2 linked regions of the Diceros bicornis minor genome follow. The protein of the gene in region 2 interacts with the protein of the main gene of each other region in a pairwise test. Links are inferred from orthologs where the notes say so. Each region holds a gene or a part of one and is shown on either strand. Other genes may lie near its edges. The genes, in order: UBE2W and RNF111.

What was found.
Region 1: the proteins of RNF111 (region 2) and UBE2W interact in a two-hybrid assay, tested with the Homo sapiens proteins (2 studies listed by BioGRID and IntAct). The link is inferred for Diceros bicornis minor from reciprocal best matches to the Homo sapiens genes RNF111 and UBE2W.

What each region holds. Positions count from the first base shown.
Region 1 is NC_080772.1:25,347,018-25,350,931, forward strand, and holds the start of UBE2W (ubiquitin-conjugating enzyme E2 W), read right to left. Parts: upstream 3,095-3,914; coding exon 2,993-3,094; intron 1-2,992. UniProt on the Homo sapiens protein: Accepts ubiquitin from the E1 complex and catalyzes its covalent attachment to other proteins.
Region 2 is NC_080744.1:54,052,785-54,056,698, reverse strand, and holds the start of RNF111 (E3 ubiquitin-protein ligase Arkadia), read right to left. Parts: upstream 2,837-3,914; 5' UTR 2,497-2,836; intron 2,374-2,496; exon of another isoform or gene 2,160-2,373; intron 326-2,159; exon of another isoform or gene 1-325. UniProt on the Homo sapiens protein: E3 ubiquitin-protein ligase. Required for mesoderm patterning during embryonic development. Acts as an enhancer of the transcriptional responses of the SMAD2/SMAD3 effectors, which are activated downstream of BMP.

The sequences.
Region 1 (3,914 bases), on a different chromosome or scaffold from region 2:
CTTCAGCAGTAGTAATATCCCGGCGTGGGTAAAATAAAGACATCTAGGGCCGGCCCCGTGGCTTAGTGGTTAAGTGCGTGCGCTCTGATGCTGGGGGCTCGGGTTCGGATCCCTGGCCCGCACTGACGCGCTGCTTCTCCAGCCATGCTGAGGCCGCGTCCCACATACAGCAACTGGAGGGATGTGCAGCTATGACATACAACTATCTACTGGGGCTTTGGAGGAAAATAAACAAATAAATAAAAATTATAAAAAAAAAAAATCTACTGAAAACTTTCTAGGCAAGGACATGGTCAGAGCAGCATTCATGTACAGTGTACTTTTTCCTAAGTGCTCTACTGAAATCCCAAAAATATCCATTTCACAACCTCCTTCCACACTTTTTCTCCATATCACTATCACCTTTTAATATAATGTGCAACTAGCAAATATTTTGTTCTTATCTGTCTCCCCCAATTGGACTACTATATCCACAAGGGCAGAAATCTTGCTTTTGTTCACTGCCATATCCCCAGCACCTAGATGAGTACTTGATACATAGTAGGCCCTCAAAAAATAATTCATGAGTGAATGAACAAATTTCATAATTTGGTTGCAGTTTTATGTGTAACTTAGTCATTCTGAAAAGAGTTAAACTCTACTACTAAGTAGGAAAAAATGTTGTTCACCAGACACAGAATAATCACAGAAAGTAGTGCTGTGTTTCAAAAAGTTTATCTATATTAAAATATTTTTCTAGGGGCCGGCCCGGTGGCGCAAGCGGTTGGGTGCACGCGCTCCGCTGCGGCGGCCCGGGGTTCGCTGGTTCGGATCCCGGGCGCGCACCGAAGTACTGCTTGGTAAGCCATGCTGTGGCGGCGTCCCATATAAAGTGGAGGAAGATAGGCACCGATGTTAGCCCAGGGCCGTCTTCCTCAGCAAAAAAAGAGGAGGATTGGCGGATGTTAGCTCAGGGCTGATCTCCTCACAAAAAAAAAATATATATATATATATTTTTCTAGATACTATCAGAAAATCTTTATCAGATATTTAAAAAATACAAATAAAAGATTTAGTTTTATTTTAATTAAAATAGGAAACATCAGTTTTCTATTCCTCTAATCAAAAGACAAAGGAATAAAAGGGTGATAAGACAGTCAGAAAAATGCAGTATTGCACTGGCAAGTATTGTTTTCCATTGCTTAAGTCGCCATGTAAAATTCAAGATTATCAACATTAAGTTCTGTGCCAACTCAGCTTTTTCTCTTAAAAATTAAAATCTGCCTTTTCCAGACACTTGAAGTCTAAATCTAACCAGCTAATTAGCTATCCCTACAATTCTCTTGTCAAATATAATCACAAGTGTTGGGGATTTTAATATTAATTGTTAGTCTTAAATAATTTTAACCTTAACACGAATAATCTTAAACTGGTCATATAGCCCATCTACTGTTCAACTACTGTTCCACAGTTCCTTTTTTAGCCTCAAATGACGAAACTCCTCTAACGTCTCTGTGGAGACTAGTGTCAAGTGTAATGTTTCTGAAATTGTTTTTTCTCTGCATCGTTTCATGACATCTCTTCAACTAGGAATGTTATATACAATTTTTTTTCCCTATTCTGCAAGGAAGTCCAGACGGAGAAGCAACTGTAAAAAGAACATTCTATGAGAAACAGGTTGAAAGAGGATAACACAAAAGTACAGAAGTCAATGTGAAGCAAACGTGCACAAAAGAGGAAGAAGATGCAGAAAACAGAAGAGATGAAAGAAAAACACTGTTCTCGTCTAGGAAAGAAAAAAACAAGGAGGGTGGATAGGGAGACTTGCTTATTCTTCTAGAAACAAAAGCACAAAATCCTTCTAAGAAAAACGTGGTCTCCTTGTTAAGCAAATGTTAAAACTCTAAAAGGCGCTCAGCTGCCACTCCAAACGACAATTCTTCCTTCTCTTCCTATATGTTTCGATAGAGCTAGTCTTCATCTGTAAATTAAATGCAAGCTCTAGATAATGCAGAGTCAATCTCTACAAAACTGCAACTGTGGTTGCCATCTTTGCCTGAAAAAAACCAAACTCGTTGGATTTGGAAAAAAGGAGTATATTAAGTAGCAAAGCCAGAAAACCACGCGTTGCCAAGTCAGGCAGATACAACACGAGTTAACAAACGCTTCCTACCAAACTAAGGTTCCCCTAAAGATCTGGGGAAGAAGGGCAAAGGGCTGCAGCCTTACCGCGACCGCAAGGGTGGGGCACAGCAGGGAAAAAAATTTGAGGGCGAGCTATCCCGGGAGGTCTAAGGGGACTGGTGACTCGGCTCTCGGGGAGATCGCCTACTAGGCGGCCAATGATGTCGATGGACTAAGGGCAGCTTCGGGGACAGTGAGAAAGGGGGACGAATGTTCGTGGAGGGTGCGGAGGTGATACAGAAAGGTACCCACGGGGCAAAGGATTAAGAGTCAAAGGGAGGAGAGCCGAGGGGCCGAGCGGTCCGGAGGCCGGGCGTGGGAGGCCTGAGCGGAGGCCGCGAATCGCCTTTGCAGCCAGCCGCCTTCTCGGGGAACGCCTTTTCAGCTCCCCACACTCAGCCCCTCTCAGGGCCGCCCCTGCCCCGGCGACAACGGCGAGAGCAGCTGTTTCCGCCCGGCCGGGGACCACGGAGGAAAAGGCATCCCTGGGGCGGGCGGGGAGGCCGCCTGCGTGAACGGGAGGGGATTCCGAGACCACTGCCGCCCAGCCAACGCCAAACTTGGCCCTTTCCTCCCCTTCGCCCTCTTTCTCCCCCAACTTCGCGGCCGGCGGGTGTCCGCTTCGACCGACCGCGACCCCCCCACCCCCGCCCTTCTTCTCGCCGCCTCTCACCCCTCCCCAACGCCCTGAGGCTGAGGCAGGACGGGCCACGAGGGCCGCTCCCGAACCCGCCCGGGTGCCCCAGGGTCCCAGACGCCGCCCCCGACGAGACGGTCGCATCCTCTCGGCGGCTCCCTCGCCCGCCCAGATGCTGCAAACTCCTCTCACCTGCATTGACGCCATGATGGAACCATCCCCCCAAGGCCGGCGAGGCCAGAGACGCAGGGGGCGGAGCCGCCGTGCTTGCGTCACGCCGCGGGGGCCCAGCATCCCGGGCGCGGGGGCGGGGCCTGCGATGGGAAGGGGATGGTGCTAGGGGATTGGCTGGCGCCCGGGGGGGAGGGGCGGGTGGGGGCGCGGTAAATGGCGCTGTCTGTACCCTCGGTCACAGCCGGCTCTAGGGCGTCGGGGGCTCGCCCGCCGGCTGCTCCGGCCGCTTAGGGGACGCCGCTCCGGTTCTGACCTGAACACGGACGTTGTTTTTTTTTCTGTCTCTGCTCCGACATCCTGATGATGTCTGGGCCCGAGGGGTTTTCTCTGTTTTGTTTTGTTTTTCCGACCACAGGTGTGTGGTTTACGGATTTTTCCCCTCAGATGTCTTTTCCACACGACCATGCCCCCTCTCACACCCTTGGGCCAGATAAAACTTCCCGCGGGGCTGCTTTCAGGTTTTGAGGACCTGGAAGACTTCTCATATTCCTAATTTGGGGAAGAGAAACACAGATTTCCTTCTACAACGGGATGAGAATTGAGAGCACAACAGCACTTGGGTATTTTAAAGGCGAGAGTAGATTTGAAGAGCTGAAACTTGCCTGAAAGGGAAGAGAAAATTTTGAAGTTTTTCTTTCGTTTGTGTGCGATTTCCGCCCCTTTACCGCAGCTCCTCAGTTTTAAACTTAACGTGTGTCAGTGGTAGTTATGGTTATTCTGGCATTGGTGTTTGATTAGAGATTTGATCCTGGATGTGAAAAAATTTTTTTAATGTACCAGTGTCACGTTATAATATACACTTACACCTTCTGTCACATCTAGACTTCTCTTCAGGCCATTTCGTGGTGGGCAGTTTTGTGGTGGTTCACCCTAGGGGTGT
Region 2 (3,914 bases):
GATTGGATCATGATGAATACAACAATGAATACCAAAACACCTAACTAAAAATATAAACCATTAAATTTGAGACCTAGAGAAAACTAGAGTTATCTATCCCACAATTCTCATTTAACAATTGAGTGAGATCTGAAGCCCAGGATGGTTATCAATAAAGTCAAAGATCTAATGAATAGCAAGCAATGCTAGACCTAAAATCCAGATCTCCTGTCTCTAGCCCTATACTCTTTCATAAGACAATGTCACACAGAATGTTAACATCAAGTTATAATATACTTTAACTACTATCATTTTTAGTACTGTCCCTTTTTTCTTTTTTTTTTTGTGAGGAAGATCAGCTACGAGCTAACATCCATGCCAATCCTCTTTTTTTTTTTTTTTTTGCTGAGGAAGACTGGCCCTAGGCTAACATCTGTGCCCATCTTCCTCCACTTTATATGGGACGCTGCCACAGCATGGCCTGACAAGCAGTGCATCGCTGCCAGCCCAGGATCCGAACCTGGCCGATCCAAACCCAGCCGCCAGCAGCAGAGCATGTGCACTTAACCACTACGCCAACGGGGCCAGCCCCCCTTTTTTCTTTTTTAACCTACTGAAGTCCTAGCCCACAGAAAGAAAAGTCAAAACAGGGCCACGTATAATTACGCTCCAAGTAAAGCATATTACAGAAACTCTCTTTGACAAAACAATAAAAGAAACTTGTAAAAAACCTAATCGGTTTGATTCAATAGTTTTTTACTCCATATTTTAAATTTTAAAATGAAAATAACTATTTAGGAATATCTGCTGACTATTCCTTTGCTTTAGACGTGTAAATTGCTGTTCTCTTAAACATCAGCATAGCTAGTTTTCAATTATCTGTAGAAATAGAGTATCGAAGTGAAATTTGTCAAGGTGCAACCTCCACTATAATGTCTTTTTCACCAAAATGAAATTATTTTGATTATATCTTTCTTCAAAAACCAACTCTAGTGAAAGAACTAACATGCAAGTGACCAAAAGACACCAATCAAAAGGAAAAAAATGACAGAAGAATCCACACACACAAGACACAGCACCCCTGAGGGGGTAGGAGAGACTCTACTCTTCCTAGTTTTTCCTACAACATTGTTTAGACCAATTCATAAACACCCTCACCAGTTCTTTAGAATACTACTCTGAATCTTAGGCAGCAAACAAATGAGCAGGAGAGAAATGTCATTTGTCCAAGGTTAACTGACAAGAGATGGATAAAAGCAAAATAATTCAAGACTTAAAAAAAAAATTTAGGATTATTTTCAGAATAAAAGGGCTTCTTTCTCATCCTATCTATTTTGTCTCACAAACACAACCAAAGCCCACTGTTTATATGAAAAACCACATGGTTTATATTGACATGAAAATTTTTACTAAAAAACATAGTAAGAAACTATCAAAATGTAGATCTTCACCCTAATAAAGCAAAGTAAAACCAGTATTATAGAACTTCTATGTAATATCGAAACCACATTCTAACACATGAAAGCAATGACACACACAAAAAAAACAAAAAAAGAAAAAGAAACAGAACCTTAGCTTATCTTTTCCACAGTCTGTTCTTTTTGGTTGAAGAGGTCCCTAACACCAGAACACTAAACATAAAATATCAAATGAAATAAAGTTAGGATTAAGTCAGGTTCAAAAGCTGTAAGAACAATCAAATGAAGTCTGTCAGCTGGCATCTCACCACTCGAGAGAGTTCTAAACTCATACTGCACGTAAATCAAGAAACAGGAAAGCATACAATACAATGGAGTCACCCCACACTACAAACATGAACAAACTAAATGAATACCCTACACTTCCTGGTATTTTTTTAAACGTTAAAACTTACACTTGCATTAAGAAGTATCTGTGAAGATCTACTATAACCTATTTAAGAAACTACTGTGACAAACCTCTATCTCTGCAGTATAGAATAGATATTTCCACTACAGCATGGCCACTGACTCTGATAATAAATATATCGATAATAAAAATATCAAGCTCCTTTTAATGACCAACAGGCCAACTCTATACAAAATCTGACGCGCCTATATTTCTGCTGTTCCGCGGACTACGTTTCCTTGAGCCCACAAGAAGGCAACTCCCTAACCGTCAGAGCTGACCCAGCGCCCTCCAACACCCCGGGTGCGGGTTACCTTCATCGCTCCATTGTCAAATCGCGCTCCCACGCCTCAGTCCTCAGCCCCCATCCTCAGACTCCACGGAGAGTCGAAAAAGGGAAAGAAATCCCCCCACCCACACTCCCCTACTGTGGGGTGTGGGTGTGTCCGCAGACAAACGCTTTGCTCAAACACAATTAAATCTGCGGAGACCCAGACCCTAAGTCACTGCGGAACCAGCAATCACCGGCCGGTCGCGGACCCCAGCCTTCCGCGGCCGCAGCCCTTCCTCTTTCTCCCCTCCGGGCCGGCCCCTCCCCCGTTGCGCGCACGCGCGGCCTCCAATCGATCCCCTCCCCCCTGGCCCCCTCACCTTAATCATTAGCCACCCTCTTCCCAGGGTCCGGGAACCACTGGTCCAGGAAGGAAGACACGAGATGTAAGGAGGGAAGAGGATGCGTCGAGAGCCAGTGATCTGCGTCTCAGATCTCGGCCTAACAGGCCCCTATAGTCAAGAGCAGCGTCTGTCACCGCCACCAAAACTGTACGAGCGGCAGCGCCTGGGTCGGCCCAGCTCACAGGGCTTGTGGTCAGAATGCCTAATTTGGTCCTACAGGAACTCCTTCCCCGACGCTGCGGGCCTTTCTATGCTGCGCAGACCGAACACCTCGCCACCGTCGCCGCCACTGCTGCTGCTCTCCTGCCGCCGCCGGCGCTGCCGCCGCCTAACCAATCCCTCCTCTACGGAGCGAGCACGACACTCGGGGCTTTACGACAGTTCGGAAAGCGAGAGCGCAGCAGCCTTCACGCCTCTATTAACATCTGTTTGTTTCTGCGCTTGCTCAGATTCTTGTCTTTCACTGTCCCGCCCCGTCTTCCCCGGACCTCCCCATTTGTACTCGCTGTGTCAGTCTGTGGGCGAAGCCGAGCGGTGTCATGAAGCTCGTTATTTAATTTTCCTTGGTGATTGTGCGTTCCGTAATTAAGCAAAATACTGACTACATTTTGGCTAATTTTTTCGTAACTAAAAATTACAACTAACTACAAAATTATTGACTATACTTAAACGGTACAATTAAACAAAAACAACATGGTTTAGTGTCTTTCACAACAAATGATACCACATCATACTCGCTAGTGACGTAAAGATAATGGTACCTCACTGTTAAGGTGAATTTGCTTAAAGAATCAGATCAAAAGTGGTAATAGATATCTTGGGAACTGACTGTACAATCACATACGCCTTCTTAATTATTTTATAAAAATCAGTAGATAGCAAATGCTTCACTGCGTGCATTAGGAGGATGTAGGTAAAGAGGATGTAGGCTTTAGAATCAGTCAGACAGACTTCCTTTCAAATCCTAGTGATGCCAATTAACAGCTCTCTGATTTATTAGAGCTTTATAAATCTGTTTCCAAAAAAAAGAGAGAAAAGAGATAAAATGTCAGTTACACCTCAATGAGAAAAGAAATAAAATGATATCTAAAACCAAAAAAAAAAATCTCAGTTTCCTCCTCTATAAATTGAGCTATGTTATTTACCTCAAAGGGTTCTTGTGGGATTAAATGATAGTTTATATAATGCTTTGAAGGTCACATATCAATTAAGTGTTTAATAAACATTAATTCCCTCCCTTTGTCATCAACTTAGCTTTCTCAATACCCTTTCTTTTGTGCACTCATGTTCTCCATACTGTTCAGTGAAGAAAATGTTTTAAAAAAATAATAAACCAGGGGCAGGCCCTGTGGCTTAGCGGTTAAGTGCACGCTCCGCTGCTGGCGGCCCGGGGT